Linked DNA regions of Oreochromis niloticus. The protein of the gene in region 1 binds, or shares a complex with, the protein of each later gene. Links are inferred from orthologs where the notes say so. Each region holds a gene or a part of one and is shown in the gene's direction. Other genes may lie near its edges.

The links.
Region 2: the proteins of gdf11 (region 1) and fsta are in contact, whole or in part, in a crystal structure (PDB 5JHW), measured with the Homo sapiens proteins. The link is inferred for Oreochromis niloticus from reciprocal best matches to the Homo sapiens genes GDF11 and FST. Residues at the interface, in NP_005802.1 of Homo sapiens: Asn299, Leu300, Gly301, Leu302, Glu310, Arg312, Asp328, Trp329, Ile331, Ala332, Lys334, Arg335, Tyr336, Lys337, Tyr347, Met348, Phe349, Met350, Pro354, His357, Gln361, Ile380, Asn381, Leu383, Phe385, Asp387, Lys388, Gln389, Gln390, Ile391; in NP_037541.1 of Homo sapiens: Leu34, Arg35, Gln43, Val44, Leu45, Tyr46, Lys47, Thr48, Arg60, Ser62, Asp72, Asn73, Leu75, Phe76, Met79, Ile80, Leu134, Asp135, Arg149, Gln153, Pro154, Glu155, Val180, Val181, Asp182, Gln183, Tyr188, Val190, Thr191, Asn193.

The regions. Positions count from the first base shown.
Region 1 is NC_031970.2:24,548,015-24,557,871, forward strand, and holds the start of gdf11 (growth/differentiation factor 11), read left to right. Parts: upstream 1-5,326; 5' UTR 5,327-5,801; coding exon 5,802-6,216; intron 6,217-9,857. Other genes in the region: si:ch1073-456m8.1 (leucine-rich repeat flightless-interacting protein 1), read right to left, coding at 1,230-1,304, 1,577-1,675. UniProt on the Homo sapiens protein: Secreted signal that acts globally to regulate anterior/posterior axial patterning during development. May play critical roles in patterning both mesodermal and neural tissues. It is required for proper vertebral patterning and orofacial development.
Region 2 is NC_031977.2:26,387,811-26,398,271, forward strand, and holds the start of fsta (follistatin-A), read left to right. Parts: upstream 1-5,542; 5' UTR 5,543-5,655; coding exon 5,656-5,746; intron 5,747-6,879; coding exon 6,880-7,077; intron 7,078-7,247; coding exon 7,248-7,466; intron 7,467-7,593; coding exon 7,594-7,818; intron 7,819-8,433; coding exon 8,434-8,664; intron 8,665-10,426; coding exon 10,427-10,461. Other genes in the region: itga2.2 (integrin alpha-2), read left to right, coding at 1-24, 150-239, 542-658, 967-1,047. UniProt on the Homo sapiens protein: Multifunctional regulatory protein whose primary function is to antagonize members of the transforming growth factor beta (TGF-beta) superfamily including activin, myostatin, GDF11 or bone morphogenetic proteins (BMPs).

The DNA.
Region 1 (9,857 bases):
AAGTACAACCATCTCTGTTTTTACAAAATATCTAGTTAACCTGTGACTTTTTTATTTTGACAATAATCTTTTAAAACTGGGTTACTCGTGTTGTACAACATGCTTTTGGAGCTTTCAGATAGATGAGCTTGTTTAGTACAAGTTTGACTGAACTGGTAAAAATAAGGAAGCCATAAAAACACGAGATATCGCCAATTATTGCTGTACTAAAAATTCTGAAGCAAACCATCTTCTGCAATTTGGAAAGTACCATTTCATGGTTTTCCTGCCCCCGTCATTACTGGCACTCACACGGTTTTCATTTCAAACATTTCTCTCCTGACTACAAAGAAGGACCCAGATATTTACAGCTGTAACTGCAACAGCTGTTTAAAGACATAATTTCATTTTCTTTATAAATCCTCTTGACTGCTGGGGGGGGCAGCACCAGTGCCAGAGATGTCAGCAGGACCCACAAACTAATCCTCAAGCCTGGACCCATCATTGGCCAGAATTTGGAGGCGTTTGAGTCAGTGAGAGACCGGAGGTCAGTGAACAAACTGCTCTCTGTCATGGACATCCCATCACACCCACTCTGCTCCACACTTCTGAGGCAGCAGAGCTCCTTCTCACTGCCATAAACAACTCAGGAAATCATTCTCGTCATTCTCTATAAAGCTGTATAATAACTCCTCGTTCTGTGACAGGTGATCACACCTGTCAGACATGTGATTCTACACATATTTCTATTGTACCTTCATGCACTTATAGCATACATATTATGTACTAATGAAGTTTGCATTACTCTTCCACAATGCCAGTCTTACTTTTACTATTTTTAACTGTCTTCATATTTACTTTAATTTGTTGTTGTTGTTATACTATGAGAGAAAGTTTTTCCATTCTCTCATAGTATAAGGTCTTTACTAGACCCCTGTGGCACTTTAACTTTGTTAAATATTGTAGGCTGTACTATTTTTATTCTTCATCTTGCTGCTGTAGCATAATCATTTTTCTTGTGGATCTATAAAGTATATATCTATATATCCATCCACTTTTTGGCACGACTGACCATAACTCGACATCACTCTGTGTCACAAGATACAAAACCTTTAGACTCTCGGCCTATGCAAGCGTCTCATCCCAGAGGCATTAGGTAGCACTGCGTGTCCGTCACATATACAATGCTGTAACACTGAGACAACAATGAGTTCAGCGCAGCGAGTGTCAGTTTTTATGCTAGCTCCTACCTGGCTGTCACTCCTCCTCTTCAGGATGCTCGCTCTGCTGTCGCTTCTTGTCACACGTCTGGACGAGCTGTCAGTCTGATGACAAGACGAAAACACATCTCAGGCGGAGTCTGAGCATCACCATCATCATCATCATCATCATGAGCCACAACAACAAAACAACAAAACAACGAACAGCTAACAGCGCTAACGCTGAGGAAGTGAAATGAAGCGACGGGCCTGACGAGTGCTTCGTTTACCCTAGCCGTTTGTTTATTTTAAGTGTTGAACAAATTAAAGACACCAAACTAATTCGGTTATTTAAAACAGCTGTGACGTTAACGACGCCGTGATTTCTGTCCGCTCACCTCTTTGATAATACTGCGCAGAGACTCGTCCTCGCTCATTCCCCGAGAAAATGAGCGCTTCTTCGGTGAACCACTGCTGTCCAGCGTGACCGAGTGCATGTTGTACGCGTTATATTACGTTTTTCTTTATATAAGAGACACCTCCGGGCTCTCTGGCTGAAGTGGTGTTTTGTACCTGCTTCCTACGCAGCTACAGGGAGCTACACCCAGGCCCTGATCTACGGAAAGCCGCAGGGACCAAACCGTGTTTAGCGCCGCCCTCGCTCCGCCCACTCTCTCTGAACAGTCAAATATCCGTCTTTTTCGGGAGACATGGGTCACGTTTGTGGCTGTGGGGAGGTTCAAATAGACTTGGTTTGTTGTAAAGTTAAGGGAGAGCATTCTGGTGCATGGCTGGAATTAATCAGTGAAAAAAGCCTGCCGTTTTTTAGTAAAGCTATAGGTACTTTTACAAACGTGGCCAGAACAATGGAAAGTGAGGTTTAACAGGACTTTTCCTGTGAAAAAAATAAGAAATCCCTTTTATTCAGTAGCTTGTAGAGCAACTTTTAGAAACAGTGACTTGAAGTAATATTTTTTTGTATGATTTTATCGGTCTCACATCATTGTCGTTACGTTGTTGCTTCAGTTCATTTCATTTATCTTAATGTCTCTTAAGATCTCACCAAAGCCATTTACTGCTTCTGTGCTTGGGATTATTGTCCTGTTGCATTACCCACATTGGGCCAAGCTTTAGCTGTTGGACATGTGGCCTCACATTTGAGTATACTTTGGTATAAAGAATAGTTCATGATCGACTCAGTGACTGCAAATATCTTTTAGCTGCAAAACAAGCCCAAATCATTACCCCTCCAACACCATGCTTGACAGCTGGTATGAGGTGTTTGTGCAAATATGCTGTGTTTGGCTTTCTGCAAATGTGATGCTTTGAATTATGGTCAAAACCTACACTTTGGTCTTGTCTATCCAAAGGACATTGTTTCAGAAGTCTTGAGGTTTGTTCAGATGCAACTTTGCAAACATAAACTGTGCTGCCATGTTCATTTTAGAGAGAAGATGCTTTCTTATTCTTATTATTTTCTTATTTAATTACGAATTGCAAATGATGAACTTGATCAATCATAAGTCATTTGGCTCAGAATAGTAAGGATTTCTAACACTTACAGACTTTGAACACCACATATTTTTATTCCGATAAACTGGAACCAAACTGAGAACACAGAAGGCAATGATTCTTTACAGAGATAAGCCAACTCCCTTACTACTCAACCTTTACAGCAACTTTTATTGATTAATCTACCAATTTAACCTTTTATTTGTCTTTTCACTCTACTCACATATAGTGACTTTTGCCCCGTCATGGTGTGAAAACACTGGTTTCTGACAAAGTTAACCTCCACAAGAACTGGATCCTGAAACTGAAGTGTTTGTACAACTTTACAAACCAAACTATTTGACAGCTGAAGAACTTAAGATGGCAGTCAATACCTGACAAAGCAAAGGTTTTTGTTTTGTCTTATTGTTATTTTTAACATGTATTACTGATAATTTAAACAAAGGGTGAAAGTGGAAGTGGAGAAAAAAGTGAACAACTGCAACAGGAAATGAGGAAACAGTTCAAACCCCCTAAATATATGATGATATTTACACAGTGTATGACTCAAAAGCTGTACACTGTTATTCATCCCAGATATATGTGTTTATTACACACAGATGATCATGACATAGTCTCATATCTTGATACAGGGTTTCTATAATTGTAGGCAGATGTAGTAATATATCAGCCTACGCATTGGTTAGATAGAATTGTTCATACAACTTCCTTCACCTTTAAGGTGATTGACTGAATACAAAATCTACACATTGCTCTCGTGCAGCGGACCAGACCCTCAGTTTGGAGCAAAAACTCCAAACCAGGTTTAAATTTTTCCTTGAGCTGTCCTCTGAACTGTAGTTTGTCACTGCGTAGCAACAGTGAGGACTGCTTACTGTAGACTCAGTGCTATGACACTTTGTTGAAACAATGACTGCCTCATTAATGACTGTTTTTCTGGTGTGCGTGAGAGATAACTGTTATTCAAAAAGAGGCCGGCCCTTTTGATTTACACCCATCAATGCAAAGACCATGAGGTTTACTGAAACCAGATCTATTTCACTGTGTATATGTAGAAACCTCACTGATCATTTTACATGAAGTTTTACAAAGCCTTTCTGCGCTTGAGTGTTTGTATGTGGGTTTAGTGTGTTAAGGCTCTGAGTAGATGTTAGATCAGCAAATCTGATCATGCAAATGATTCACACTTTATCTGCATACATGAACAGAAAAACATGCAAACGTGGAGAGGAGGGATGAGTGGCAACTGCAGTAGAATGAACATGAGTGTCTCATCACTTCAGGACTCATTAGTTTTTGTCTTTTGATCCAGTGTACTAATGATTTGTCTTAACGGAGCAACTGTTAAATATATTTTTCTGAAAAAAAGAGAAAAACTAAAAGAGTTGAAAATAACATAACACCAGATATATTACCAATGCTTTCATGTCTGATGTCTCCAAGCCTGTTGTAAAGGGACGCTTTCATACTTTGGTACTGTAGAAATTTTTGAGATGACCAAGTAAAGCATTAATTGCAATGAATTTCATTCGTTGTATTGGAGGTGCAATGCAGAATCCTCAGTTCTTTAGTAGTGGCTGAAATGTACCAAACCAATAGGGTTCCTGGTTTAGAGTGCAGCTCCTGAAGGTGAATTTTACAAAACACAGCCTCCAATGAACAGAGAGGCACGCAGCTTTGAGTCCTGCAGTCGCAACTATGTTTTTCACCAGCAGATGTCGGTGTGGTCGCACAGGCTGCTCATCGCTCAAAGAGGTGGTGCTGCGAAACTTTTAGCCTATTTTGGAAGAAGAAAAAATGAACTATAAAAATACCCAAGTGATATACATATGAAAATATGTATATGACAGTGGTTCTTGGGCACCATTTAAGTAACAACCTCACATGTTTATATATCGCTGGATGATGTTTCAGGAAAGACTGAAATTCCACAGCTCACTATAATTACATGCGTCACTTGCTCATTAGTTCATATACTGATAGGTACAAATGGCATTCACACGGGTCTGTGTATACTAATGAGTCCATCTACATTATAATTGAGAGCTTACAGACATGCTCCTGCTTAATGGCTCAAAAGTCTCCGAAGTGTAGGGTTATTAAACATAATCTATCAAAATCATGATCAGCCTTGAATGCACCCTTCTGAATTTGGAGCTATTATTTTTCAAGGAAACCGTGAGTTTGTTCTTTCTTACCGGTTTCAATGAAAACTTTCACATTCATTTTGAAGAGCCTTACAAGAATATATCTAAATAATCTGCATAATACCATCTGACAGACTTACATGAATAATTCTTATCTTCGAGTTACCAGTTTAATTAATGTACACCATAAATGTTATGTGCACGCTTCATGATTGACTGTGGTAAATTTGCAAGAAATCCATTTAGCTTTTTTCTTTTTGATTTTTATTTTTTAAATTGGCACCATTAAACATTTAACCTATTTTAAAAAACAAAAAACAAAAGCATGCGTAGTGAGCAGTTTGCCATCATCCTAATAACCTAATTGGGCTATAGGTTATCTCTAATGGGAGACATTGTTTGTGCACTGTAAAAACATTTATACTCTTTTAACGGTGCGCACACCCTCCCTTCCTCTGTCCCTCTTGACTTGGTGACAGACCTAAAAGCCTTTTGTTGCAATCTTAGCCAATGGAGGCGGATTACGACAGCGGGCAGCTGAGATATATAAAGAGCGCCTTTTTGACCGTACTTGCACATTTTTCCAGTGACACCTCTGCACATACTCACACCTCCGTGGACTAAAATTGTACAGAAATCAACAATTAGCTTATACTGCACGTGAGCAGGCTATGCATTCACCAGGCATTTAACTTTCAATCAAAGGAGCTTGTACCGACACCCTCTGCGCGCACTTTTTTTTTTTTTGTTAAAAGAAAAAAAAGAAAAAGAAAGAATATTACAAAAAGAGAAACTTCGGGTTGATCGTATTGGATTAGATGCATGTCACTTATTCTTTGCCGTTTGTAGGCTAAGACGAGGAGCGGCGCAGATTCGAGAGACGGGATCTAACGGAATAAAGTGCGTAAAAAACAAGATAAGGAAGGGGAGGAAAAGTTGCGTTTTCTGTTGTCCACGCATCGTCATGCCGAGGTACAACTTCTTACTGTGCTTGATGGTGCTCATCTCCTTGGGACAGTCGGGGAGCGATGAGCCCAATCTGCTGCTGCCTCCTGCCAGCGAGACGCCCACGGATGCCGGGCTATCTCTGCTGGATGAGGACGCCGGTTCTCACGAGTGTTCCGCTTGTGTTTGGAGGGAGCAGAGCAAAGTGCTGAGACTGGAGACCATCAAGTCCCAGATCCTGAGCAAACTGCGTCTGAAGCAGGCGCCCAACATCAGCCGGGAGGTGGTCAATCAGCTGCTGCCCAAGGCGCCCCCGCTCCAGCAGCTTCTGGACCATCACGACTTCCAGGGAGATGCTTCGTCCCAGGATGAGTTTATGGAGGAGGATGAGTACCACGCCACCACGGAGTCCGTGATTACTATGGCCTCTGAGCGTGAGTAATAGTTTACAACCTAACAATGATATTGTCTCCAAATGCGTCATGCGCGTAATTGGGGAGCAGGATAGGTTCAAGTGGCTCAGGCCTGCTGCGCGGACAGTCGGTGACCTACCCTACTTTTAGTGATTGAGATTAAAGGAAACTAACTGGTAAAATTAGACAGCTGTCAAAAGGAGGGGATAATGTGTGAAACTGATAAATCAATAACTGGCAGCACAAAGAACCTCATCACTCTGAACGGACAGCGCCAATATGGCTTGATTGACTTTTGTTTTCATGACGACGATGATGATGAAGCTGAGTGTTTCATATTTAGCTGCTGGACTCCTTGCTGTCACGTTAAACTCTCCATTTCTCCCATAACGTTTTAAGAAGACGAGGCATGGCAGAGCCGTTTGAATGTCAAGTGCATTATTAATGATAATGCAGCATTTGGCTGGCAGTTGCATCACTTTATCCTTTAATGTCTTCCTTTGCATAAAGGCCTTAAATTCTGGAGTTATCACATCTCGAGGCCCTCTGATTATTGTCCTCTAACAATTTGCTCGCCCTCCCATTGTTTCCCATAAATCCACAGATAAACCACAGGCAGGCCCCCTCTGAGACATTTTATAAAATTACTTTTGAACCCTGGCAGCTGTGCTCTATCGCTCTTTTATAGGAGGCTCTACCGGTTCCCCTGCTGTTCATCGCAGTGAGAAAAAGTGTGTCCAAAAAGCTGCTATTGTTCGCCTCATGCAGCGGCCCCCCTCGGCCGCACTTGCCTTTTAAATGCGAAGTTTATAGGCGCAGCTCGTTTTTTTTTTCACCAAGAGTACACAAAGACAGAGAATCACTTAGGGTCGAGGGGAGTGTGTGACCTTTTCCTGGTGAAGCGCGGGGTTCAACAACATTTACACACGTAATATATTCTGCACAAGGCGGATGAAACACTCTGCAAATAATCCTTTTTTTCACTCCCTGGCTGAACAAAGACCTCTATCTATCTATCTATCTATCTATCTATCTATCTATCTATCTATCTATCTATCTATCTATCTATCTATCTGTGTGTGTATGTGTGTGTGTGTGTGTGTGTGTACTGCCACTCACCTGTAATGGAAAGCACCACCTGTCTTTGTCATTATAACAACAAAAAACCATTAACTCAAATGTTAGCTATTGAAATGTCCTCTAAATTGCTCTATTTCAATGCAGTTAGAGGAGGCCACATGTGCTGTTTAGTTCTCACATTATTCACATTATTTTGAACCTCAGATATCCTTCAAGTTTCCTGTTTGCCTTGATTGTTGTGACTCATAAAAAGGATATCAGTGCACAGATGATGTCTTACTGCAGGTGAAATCACTGTAAAAAATTTGCTTTGATTTCAAACTGCTTAATATAAGCAGCAGTTCATAAATACATGAGCGCTGTCTCTGTTTTCCCTTTTGTTACCTGCTCACAAACACATGTAGGGTGTATTTGGTTTGTTATTGTCACCTCTCTGATCGGCTGATTAAGAAATCTCACATTCGACTGCATTGCTGACACACTCAGTGTACATTCTGGGAAACACAGTGACTTCAAATTATATTTTTACCCCTGGTTTTCATCCTCTGCACCACCTGACACGCATACATATTCTCTTTCTAACGCACACACACGCACATACACACTGTGCAGGGATTTGATATCTCGTCAAGCCAGAAAAAGGCATTGTGTGAGCTTATTGTGCGTTTCTGACGGCCCCACAGCGGCAAGAGAAGCTAATGATTGACATTACTGCTGAATCTGTCATGTTAGGGAGCAGCACTTCCTCTCTCATCTGTTTGCCTCATCTCTTTACATCAGCTACTGTTTTTTTTATCATCAGCTCTCTCTCTCTCTATCTCTCTGTATTCCTCATCACGCCCGCCTCCACCTTCTTCCCGGTTAGCCCCCTCTCTCCTTCCTCTTTTTCCCCCCTCGGTACTCATGGAAGAATTGAGCGAATGAGCGCATCTCCTTTGCCTGTGGCGCTTTAGTTATCCCACAGGATTAAAAGTGCCCTTTTTTGTCTCTCTGATAGAAGGAAGACTTCAAACACTATTCCCTGTGCACCTCGAACCCAATCACCCTTTCACGGTCGTGCACACTGCCTTTGATTGGGCCACGGGGGTTCACACAGTACATACTGAACTGGACCTGTGCCAGAGTTGCTTCTTAGTATTCACTCAAGGTACGTGGGTGCCGCAGTGGGGGTTGAGAGGGTCCATGCTTCCTGGTCTGTAATTACTATGAAATTTCATGGAAAAGTACATCTATTTATATCATAGTGCGGCACTTTATGTACTGAAACATCTCCCCTCTGTACAGCGTGCTGTTTAGGTAAACCACTCCGCTTGTTTCCCTCACAGAAAAAGTGACCCGGCTTTGATCAGCGTGTCAGAGAATTTTTATTAACAAATGCATGCATGTGTATCTGCGTGTGAGCTGCTCTATTTGTGTTCCTATTTGTTGATTTATGTGTCTAATTATGTGTATTTTGGGGCTTGGTTTGTTTTGCCCGAGGTGGGGTGAGGATTTGACCCCACTAGTCTCTCATTTGTCACCTGTCCAAAAAACCTTCAGTCCAGACCTTCCTCCGCCACCAGCAACCTCCTCCTCCTTTTTTTTTCTTCCTTTTTCTTCTTCTGTATGCCTTCATGCTAATTTGCCACACTTTATGACTTCTGCCAGCCAGTAGAAAACACCAGAAGAAGCATTACAGTAATTGCTCAGACAGTTACTGCACTTCATTTACTGCAATAGACTTGCAGGCCACAAGAAAGTTATAGTACTGCTGGTCATTCTTTAGATTTAGTGAATGTCTTTTCTTCGCTGTAAAGACTCTTTTCTTTTATGTTTGCACTTTTTTCCAGCTCATGGACATATCAGTGTGTCCAAAATGTGAGAAATGACTGGCAGTTTGCAGCAAAACACTTACCGTTAGGGGGATGAGTACTTAAGGTTTAGAAGAACTCAAGACCACCAGATTGAATGCATCCTTAAATAGCACTTTCTCTTTTAAACTATTTTATCCCACGTTTTGTTCAGTAAATGAGGATTTAGTAGAGGCCTACATTATGCCATTTTATACTGGCATTGTTATGTAATCCTATTCAGGTGAACCACATTCAGCCAGCATGAGCACCGGTTTACACAGCTCTCGATTAAAGAGAGACATCCACACGCATGTCGAGGTATGTATGTGCCATTTTCCGCATGTGCACGCTTGTGTAGACACACAGGGTGCCCACACACACCTACTCACACAGTCACACACACACTCCAGAGAAAAGTTCTCCTATTGACAAAAAGGGTCACAGAGTTCACAGCTATGTGATATATTGGAAGAGGAGACTATTAACCTCATCAGGTCTCTTTCTTTGGCAGCAAAGACGAACCGGTAGTAACTTGAACACTTATCCCCCCACCACACAAATACCCACACACACACACACACACACACACACACACACAAACAAGTCTTTTATAGTGTTGACCCTATAAAAGGGTCATTTCCTGAAGGTGCAGGAACCATAAAAATTAAGAGGGAGAGCGCTAAAAGGACAGAGCACCAGCAGCCGGACTGTCTTCAACTCACTGGTCAGTGTTTGCTGGAAGTTGATGAC
Region 2 (10,461 bases), on another chromosome or scaffold:
ATCTGGAACAGCACTTTTATTTCGGTAAATATCTTCATATCGATTTTAGAAAGTTGGTCTGCTTTTATTATCGTTACGTTTCTTAAGTTATTAATTGTGGAATTAATCAGTTACATTAACATAATTCGTGTAATTTTTTTTTATGTTAGGCCACCTATCAGACCGTTGAGCTGACCTCCAGTTTGGAAGTGAAGACCGACAAACCTGATCTGCTCATTATCAAAAACAAACAGCTGACTGTAAGATTATATTTCAGTTTGTTACTTTACTGCTTAAATCTGACTAACATGATGCTGTTTGCTTAAAAGAGCAGCACAGTTACTTCAGCTGATGAGCATACTCAATTGTCCTGATCATTTTCACAATTTTGTATGCAAAGAGCAGTGTAAAGCACATGAGTGCTCTTATGTAAGAATGTTTTATTCATTTATTTTTGCTTATATTGTTAATCATGCAATTTCTGGTTTTATTTTAAACTATTACGCCTGGATTTGATGGAGACAGACAAGGCAATGATGTCTCCTGTTCTCTTGCTCTCCAGCTTGGGTTGAGAGTCAGCAAACCCGGAGAGACGGCTGATGTTCCAGTTGGCGTCATAGTTGGCAGCGTCATAGCTGGACTGTTGCTGTTGGCTCTGGCTGTTGCGCTGCTGTGGAAGGTATGTTTTTGTTTGTTTGTTTGCTTTTGTTAAGATGTAGAGGAACAACAGTAGGATATGTAAAACTTAGGATGATGTACATTTGTAAAATGAGCATTTGATCTTTGCCGCCCCCTCCCGCCATGAACAGATACGGATGATTTCAAAGAAATCTGCAGCTTTCAGTTTAGTGATTCCAAGAATTCCTCACCAATATGCTACATAGCACAGGGATATAAGAAAGAAAACAGTTAAAACTGGTAACTGGTCTTGTAAAAGTCTGTGGAAGTATTCTTGGTTCACTTTTTCTGTCACACTTTTCTTTCTAGTTTGGATTTTTCAAAAGAAAGTATCAGCAGCTTCAGACGGAAGATGCACAGCACAACCCGCAGGGCGATGAGGTGCTGTGAAGAGAAAACCCACAGCTTTCTCTTTCTTCTGGTACTTCTCATTAGTTCTTGTAAAGTGTGAATAGACTGCAGCTCCGCCACTGGAAGCTGGCATTTTACTGGAAACTGGAGCGTCAGTGTTACTGGGATTCAATGCTTTGCACACTTTACAGAGAATTATTATCAGTCTTTACTCTTTGTGGAGTATTTGCACTGACTTTGAAATGTATAGGTTCAAAACTGTATTTTTTGCTAACACTGGCACCCTTTTGTACTGCAGTGATTTTGAAGCCTTTGCTAAAATCTTTGAATTGTTGCCCTCTTGAGTTTTACACTGTAAAAGCATCACTTTTATGCATTACTGTTTGTTTTGATGAATTTCAGTCATCACTCTTTCAATTAGAATACTTGTGAATGTAGCACATTTGTCAAAACATTGAACTTTTTAAAGAAGGCAGTAACTCTGTAGTACAAATTAGCTTGAGATCTACTGTCATCTCTGCCACTCAGGACTGTTTTTTGTAATAGGACTAGTGATATCAGGAGCTTATATGCAAAACAGATACAATACTTATAATGCAAAGTGAGTGAAATTTGTAATTACTGTGTTAGTACTGTATATACTTTAGAATCAAATCATGGGGTTCCATATTTGTGTTTATATATGGAAATGTTGTTGACAACATGGGTCAATGGGATATATATTTGTGTATTTGTATTGTTATTGATGATATTTGTAAAATCCCAGTAATATCACAGTTATTCAGGTATGACGAGTTTGGTAGAAAATTGCTTAAGGCTGACAATTTATACATAAATGTGTCTATTTATTTTGTCTGTGAATCAAAGAATGGTTTCCATATTTAATTTCAGATAACAAATGTATAGCCAGACCATAGATGGTGATGTCAAAAACTGGATGTCCTTTTTCTGCCAGCACACAGCATCAAAATCCCCAAAAATTAACAACAAAAAGCAAAGAAGGCAGAATATTTCACACGCAGCCAACACCCATGTTACAGAAAAGATTGAATGAGGAGCCAAACATGTACTGGCACTACTTTACCACAAGATGGCAGCATGTTACAAATGACGTGTTGGCAATGTTCTAGTCTGGTTTGTTTGTTTTTTCATTACTCAGTTGATGATTTGGATGCCCCACATTCTTATTGAATTGTATATCACAATTAAGGAGTTATAGCTATAGCTATTTTGTTTTCCATCACCCCGCTCCTCTCCTCTTCTCTCCTCTGCTCTCCCCTCCTCTGACCCTGCTGGGAACCCTACTTGGACCGCTCCAGTACAACTGAGTTTCCCCTCAAACTCAATTAATTCCCTCTCACATTTTTGACTGTCAGGTTCTCCCACCGTTAGGTTAGTCTCTCCCTTGACTGTTTAGGAATGTGTTTCTGAATGTTTTCCTTTGCAGCAAGCCAACGCCAGTACCCAGCAGAGTCTTTAATGTACATTTTGTTGGATCTGGCTCAATGGAATATGCTATTTCTCTCTAATAAGCAGCATATTTTTTGTGAGTTTAGGCTCGAGTCTTCTTGTTGGAGAGAATATATAGAATTTGATAAATGACTCAACTACTCTGTTTCACGATTACTCATGGGCTGCGGTGTTGTGAAACAGCCTGTGGATTCTGTCTATATGTGTACAGGGAGCAATGTGGAAAGAGTTGATGAAATGAGATACAGTGAAAGTGTTTGTATACCTTTTGTAAATTAATTTCTCTAGTGTCTCCTGCAGGTGATTGGCGGTTCCAGCCAAATAAATGAGTTATATCATAAAGGAATGATTACTCACAGATTCCTGCAGCATTCTTGTATATCAGCAAGTCGTAGCAAATGATTTAATAACTGTTGGTCTTTTTTGCACTTTGTGAAACTCTTGAGCGCTACCTGCATTTCAACTATAAACTCTGCATTGTGAAACCAAGCTGCTGGTTGTTTTGGTTTTTTCCATTTCTATCTTTAAACAATAGAAAACTTCATCTTTTCTGCACAAATGCTCAAGGTAGATTATAGATGTTTTTGTAGATACAGATGCATGCGGTATTGGAGCCTAATCTTTTGGGATTTTATCACAAATATGCTTGTTCAAATGAAAATGGATGCCCTCCATGATATCAGAAGTTCATGGAGCTAATCAGGATTTTATTATACTCAAGTATATTTATTATACTTTATTATACTGGCAAAGAGTGGCAAAACATTCCAGTCAGTACTAATCATTTGCTTCATGGGCCTGTTTGAACCAAATTCAGCTCAGAGCCTGAGCCCTGCTTGTCCCTTTGCTTATGCCATTAATGGCTTCAGGACCAGAGCCAGCACTTTAAAGTTGATACAGCAGGACAGAAGAGGGCTTGCATGTTGGGAAGTGTTTTGGAAACTTCAGCTCTTCAAAGACACTGATCTCACAAATCATTCACACCAGACACTGAATGATTTGTTGAACATAACTTAAGATCAAATGAATGTTTTCTTGATTTGTTGAAATGAAGAATTGTCTCAAATATCAATTAAAAGTTCCCAAACAAGTAATATATAATCTATAAATAACCTTTATTTGGCACATTTGTTCATTTTGCTATCAAAAGTCAGTTTCCTGATCACCCACACAAGATTTTATAACCAGATACTTTAGTCTCTTGATAAAATCATAAATCATCTGTGGCATTTACACATGATGCAGAAAAGTGTCCTTCAAACAGATTATACATATTTGATTATAGGGACCTTAATTACTTAACGATGTTTCTAAAAAAGCTTGGCTTAAATGTTCAGTCTTTATCCAAATATGCAAAACTGCATAAAGCTTCGGTGATTGCTCTGATAACAGTTAACACAAGCTATAAATCATTCTGATAACAATTTTCTGCAGAAGGGTTAAAATGAGATTAAAAATATACAAATATTTGCCACCAGAGGATCAAATTAGCTGATAAGGACTGCAGAAAATGGTCAAAATATTTGTTCTGGTCTCATATTTGCTGTATCAGAACCATTTTTGTTGATTGAAGGAAATTAAGACGATTGCAAGGTCTTTTATGGGGGGTTTGTGTTAAAAACTTGTTTTGCACTGAAAATCAAGCAGTCAGAAAAAGCATGTTGTCTCACACATTAGGACTGTGTGTTCATTCGTTTTTTATGAGTCCTGTGTATGCTATCGTGGAAACCCCCTTTTGAGCTACCTTTTATTACTTCTAATCCTAAAAAAAATGTAATAACATTAATATTGTTCATTGCTTATAACAGTAATGATCTGTCTGTAATAGGAGTGATCACATAGGTAACGGTTGACGTCTTTTTTAAGAGAAAAGCCCCCCCCCCCCACACCCCCCTCTCCCACACACACACACACACACACACACACACACAACACACACACACATCCTGGTCTATATTAAAATCTTACATAAATATAGATTTGATACCAGATATTAGTATCATGGAGATAAACTGTACAGTGAGTGGTATTTAACTGGATACAGACAAAGAGATCACAGTGTCTTCTACCTGACCGTCAGTTAATTAATTTCCTGGTGTCTGGTTCGCACAGCAGACACTTTGCTCTGGAGAGCTGTAACCAGAATTCCGCTGAAGAGGTCGCGCAAGGACTTCTGAAGGAGTTCAGCGTCTGTGAGCGGAGAGCAGTGTGTGTGTGTGTGTGTGTGTGTGTGTGTGTGTGTGTGTGTGTGTGTTTCATTCAATGAAACGCAACACCCTGCTTCTCTGTCTGAAGCCTCTTCGGAAACAGGTTTGATTATATTTAAAAGCTTGACCCGGGAGAGAAACCCAAACAACTGTCTGTTCTAACATTAGCAGTGCGGCTGCGGACTACTACGAATTCTATTATTGTCTGGGCTCGGATGTGTTCCAAAAGGCAACTCACATCAAAAAGATTTGCTCTTTTGTCTGCAGTTGGTGGAAAAAAAAAAAAAATCAGTTACCACCAAATAGTAATCTTAATTTGAAGCACTGATGGTATGCCTGGAAAGGCATGCTGGCAGTGGGCCTGTCTGTTCATCATCATCATCATCATCATCATTATTATTATTATTATTATTATTATTATTATTATTATCATTATTATTATTATTATTAAAGAGCACATATCCACGCCATGTGTATAGAGGATGCAAAGCCCATGAGTGCTCATTCTTCCACGCGAGTCACGTGAAAGTGATAAATGATGTGATAGAAGTATCAAACGGGTTGAAATTAAACTTCGGGAACAGTGTTGATTTCAAAACAACAACAAATTTTCATATCAGCTGATACTTTTTTCCATCTTGCGCTTTCTTTCTCTGCAGAGCTGCCTGAGCTCCAAGTATGGTGTTTTCTTTCAAGTATTTTCATATCCTTTAATTATTGCGGCAAAGAGAAAGTTGCTAGTAACGATGTCACCTGATTGGGATTGAAAGAAGTTTGGTAAGGAAGGAAAAAAAATTTCCCCACCCCCATAGAAGAGGAGACCGCCCACCAGAGACAGTCAACCCGAGACCCCTTATAGATTTAAAGAGAGGCTGCATTCTCAGACTGACACTTATTCAACACTGCCACCTTAAGCAGATTACTTTTGCGCTGCCTGTGTCAAATACGTGGTTCACTTTGCCTCTCCATCATGTTTGGGATGCTGAAACACCACCTTCACCCGGGCATTTTTCTCTTGTTCTTATGGCTTTGTCACCTCATGGAACATCAAAAAGTTCAAGGTAAGCTCTCCTTATCAATTTCCTTTTATTCTCTTTCGCTTTTTTTTCTTTTTTTAAAACGTGCACTGCTGTCAGTCACAGAACCCGCGGGGTGTCTTCCACTTGCTGCCACCGAGAAACTTTTCAAAGTTTCTTGATAAAAGTCTTTCTACATCAGGCAGTGCTTGCGTAAAGCGTATAGAAAACAGGTGCCCTGTGGGACACTTCAAAGTGATATTATATGGCAAGTTTTGCAGTCGTCACCAGGCGCGCACACTACAGCCGCCACGCCGTGTTGGGGACAGTCTTTCACAATACCTGAACATATTTTTGCAACTGTGTGAGCGTTTAGCATTCCGCGATGTTGTTGTCAATGCTCCAACAAACTTCAGAATATCCACTGTGAGCGCGTTATTTATACATCCCGCAAGTAGCTTTTCTGTATTGTGTGCAAAAACAGTTGCAGTTTTATACCTATGCAGGTTTTTGACTATGCAGGCTTTTGCACCCATCATTCATGGTTTCGGGGGGACATATTTCAATTCAGCATAAGAAACACACTATCTCATGAAGATTAAAAAAATGTATTTGTGTCTTTGTCGGTTTAAACATGCTGTTACTGTCTGGAGGAAGTAATATTTTTTGGCATGGAACTGGAAAAACTGTTCTGTTTTACATTTTAATATCTCTGAAATAAACTTTACATTGCTTTGTTAATAAGTAAGTCATTGTCTGGTTGCTGTCTGGGATAACATAGTGAGTGAGGCGTTGGAGACGGTGGTGTGTGTAGCCTTGTTACCTAAAGACCGTGGTTTTCTAAAGGAGAAAGATTGGCTGCTATTTAACGCTGTCTAGACGCTCCCGTTTCTGTCCAGTGATAGCAAGCAGACACTGGGAATAAAAGACAACCCCCCTCCGAAGATTCTTCTTACTTTTTTGGTTATGGCTGCATTGTAAGGGCTGTCAGTCACAGTTGGGATAGGCAAGTGTTAACAGTCTCGCAAAAAAAATCAGACAAAATACTGTCGGGAGGGCGAAAAGGGAGGGAGGGAGCGTCTCGGATAATACGGCTGCGTGTGTATATTGAGTCTGGGTCAGCGGGTTTTTAGACGTCCAACATGCGGCATTCGAGCTTTTTTGTTTTTCGTCTACAGCTGGGAACTGTTGGTTGCAGCAGGGGAAAAACGGGAGGTGCCAGGTGCTCTACATGCCCGGGATGAGCAGGGAGGAGTGCTGTCGGAGTGGAAGACTGGGGACGTCCTGGACCGAGGAGGACGTCCCCAACAGCACGCTCTTTAGGTGGATGATCTTCAATGGCGGAGCTCCCAATTGCATACCTTGCAAAGGTGGAGGTGCACTCATTTCCCTTCGTTTTCTCACATTACATGTAATCACTCATTTTGGTTAATGAATTAAACTGGTGTTCTGGTTTGCGTAATTGTCCCATTACTTTACGCGCCAGAATACACACCAGGGGGAAAAATCCTCATTAGCATCACATAACACAGTGCTTTTGTTTTAGAAACCTGCGACAATGTTGACTGTGGGCCCGGAAAGAGGTGCAAGTTGAACCGAAGAAGCAAGCCGCGCTGCGTGTGCGCACCAGACTGCTCCAACATCACCTGGAAAGGACCTGTCTGCGGCTCCGATGGAAAGACCTACAAAGACGAATGCGCACTGCTGAAAGCTAAATGCAAAGGTCACCCCGATCTGGACGTACAGTACCAGGGCAAATGCAAGAGTAAGTAAATGTAACTGTCACCACATTTCTGAAAGCCGAGCGAGCCCGAAAGAATCCGTCGCTTTCTTGTATTTCTTGCATTTCGTGTCATTTTCACACAACTCTCCCAATGTCTTTGTCTCGCCAGAAACGTGCCGTGACGTCTTGTGCCCCGGCAGCTCCACATGCGTCGTAGACCAGACCAACAACGCGTATTGTGTGACGTGTAATCGGATTTGCCCCGAGGTGACGTCGCCCGAGCAATACCTGTGTGGAAACGATGGGATCATCTATGCCAGCGCGTGTCACCTGAGAAGAGCTACCTGTCTCCTCGGCAGGTCTATTGGAGTGGCATATGAGGGAAAATGCATCAGTAAGTCTGCAGCTACACGCATGAAAGCGTGAGACTTTACTCCCCGAGAGAGAGAGAGAGAGAGAGAGAGAGAGAGAGAGAGAGAGAGAGGTGCAGCAGTCACCGACTCTGAAAACTGTTTGAGTGCATTTTCTTTCTGGCCAGCTCTGCAGTAATTCACTGCTCATTTTTGCCAACATTCCAGTGAGGAGGGGGTCTTAGAGAGAATGTGTGTTTGGTAGTTGCTTGTGTTTGCTCAAGAAATGATAGACATCTTATTATTTCCTGATGTTGGCAGCACTTTCCCATTTGGGAAAGAGGGAATGAGAGGGGGAGGGAGATGGAGGAAAACAGGGGAGTGCTGGGGGCCATGAAGACATGCTTCAAGTTTTGAGTCAGATTGATTCTTACACAGATAGTAGTCAATTTCAGTCTTGTAGTCTTTAAAAGGCTAATTAAAAACAAAGATTTCTGTTCCACACCACGAGGCCTTATCCTGTAAAGCAGGATTTAGTTTTTATTCTCTCTAATTCTCTAAAAAACTAGGTAGTCATCTGATCCTGCTTGAAAAACATTCATGATAATTCATCTAATCAAAGATTTCCTCTCTCCTTATTTCCTTTTCTCTTCTTCCAGAGGCCAAGTCATGTGAGGATATCCAGTGCAGCGCGGGGAAGAAGTGTCTGTGGGATGCTCGGATGGGCCGAGGCCGTTGCTCATTGTGCGATGAGTCCTGTCCGGAGAGTAGGACAGATGAGGCGGTGTGTGCCAGCGACAACACCACATATCCCAGTGAATGTGCCATGAAGCAAGCTGCTTGCTCAATGGGGGTGCTGCTTGAAGTCAAACACTTAGGATCTTGCAACTGTAAGTAAATTACAAAAGCAAAATATAAAAAGAAAAGAAAGAAACAAAATCGTCCCCTCCTTCTCTGAGCAAAAGACAATATTCTATGTTGCTTTCCCAACAAAAACCTCCCGTGAAATTGCCCCCCACCTACCACCTACCCTGATTTTCCCTGAGCTCCCATCCCGGCCACATCACCAACCACATCTTAAGCAAGCAGAAAAGACTTGGGGAATGGAAGAACTTGCATGACATTGTCCTCGTCGCTGGCTTTTGTTCTCGTGTTGTTTTTTTGTTTAATTTTCGTTTTGTTTTCACGTTTTCCCAATTCTGCAAATCCTGCTAACAGAAAGATGCGCGAAAAACTTATATCAGCAAACTGTTTGCAGTGGATCTATACTTTCTGAAAAAATAGGTGTGTCTATGGTCGTGCTAGTGACCTGCGGGAGCAGGTTGCCTTAAATCCCATGCAGTATTTTTTCAATCATTAATGGTTTAATGTCCACATCTTTACAGCTTGTAAATTCCATGGTCACATTGTTAATTTCCTGGAAATGGTCTATTTTTTTTTTTTAAATTTTTGGCTATAATCAATTGATTCAAAATGCACTGCCTCTTGTGACATAAACCACACCGCCAACACGTCGGTAAAAAAGAAAGAATATGTATGACGTGCATAAGGTGATTGTAACATTGGTACCATTGATAACAATGATGGATTTGTACACTGAGATTCATGTAAACTGCCTGTCATAGACCAGTGTGAGCCATTTATAAACCCACAAATCTTCAGACAAAATACTAAATTTAACAACAGCTTTGAGGTAGTTTCAAATTGACATTCCAAATTTCTATTTAGAAGATTGTTTGTTTGTTTTTCCTAACTGGCTTAATATAATATGATTAAGGTTTGCAATGAAGTCCAAGGGACCAACTTTATGATCACCTCATGGGCTAAAAGTCATAATTTACAGTGTGCAGATTGAGCATAAGCTTGTAGATCCACGCTCCCTTAATTCCCATCCCATCATCAGAAAAACGTTTATTAGCTAACTCATTCATGCCGCTTCCAGTGATTGTGTTGTGTATCAAAAATCCTTTTGGATTAATGAGGGACTACCTGTGTTTTCATGTATCGTTGCCCTTGTGCTTGCTTGTGTGCTTTTTTATGTGTCCAATGTAAATCTCTTGTGTAAAAAGAAAAAGAATATACCTCAGAACTGTGCTAATGATCTCTGACCTGCTTGCTAAGGTCAGGCTGTGACACAGAGTCCTCCCTCCCTGTTCGTTTGAGCCAGAAGCTAAAATATTAGTAATCGGAGAAAAGAAACTATAGCGAGTCCAAGAACACAAGAGCACTTTTCTGTGTTATGTGTGTCTGCTTTCAGAAATCTGCTCAAAAGAGACCTGAGCCACTGGAACCATCAGCCCCAGTGCCCCTAAACCCGCTTCCCATCCTCCCCCTAACCCACCTTGTGACCTTCCCCTAACCTCCAACTTGCCGATCCTTTCCATTGTCGCTCCTTTTTCTCATGTTGCAGCCCTGACTTGCTCGATTATGTAAATGGACATTGTATAATTAATTGGGGATGCCACAGCAACTGCTGCTGCCAAGTCACACAGACTCTTGCTCACACAAACATAATCATATACACAAAAGAAAGAAACAGAAAGGAGGCTGTGTGCCAGTGGCTTAATTGTGAGATTTATTTTTTTGACAGTGATATTCTGCGCTGTTGTGGTCCATATTCATACAACAGCTACCATATATTCTCCCATATAGCCATTACAGAAGACCAGGAGGAGGATGAGGAAGAT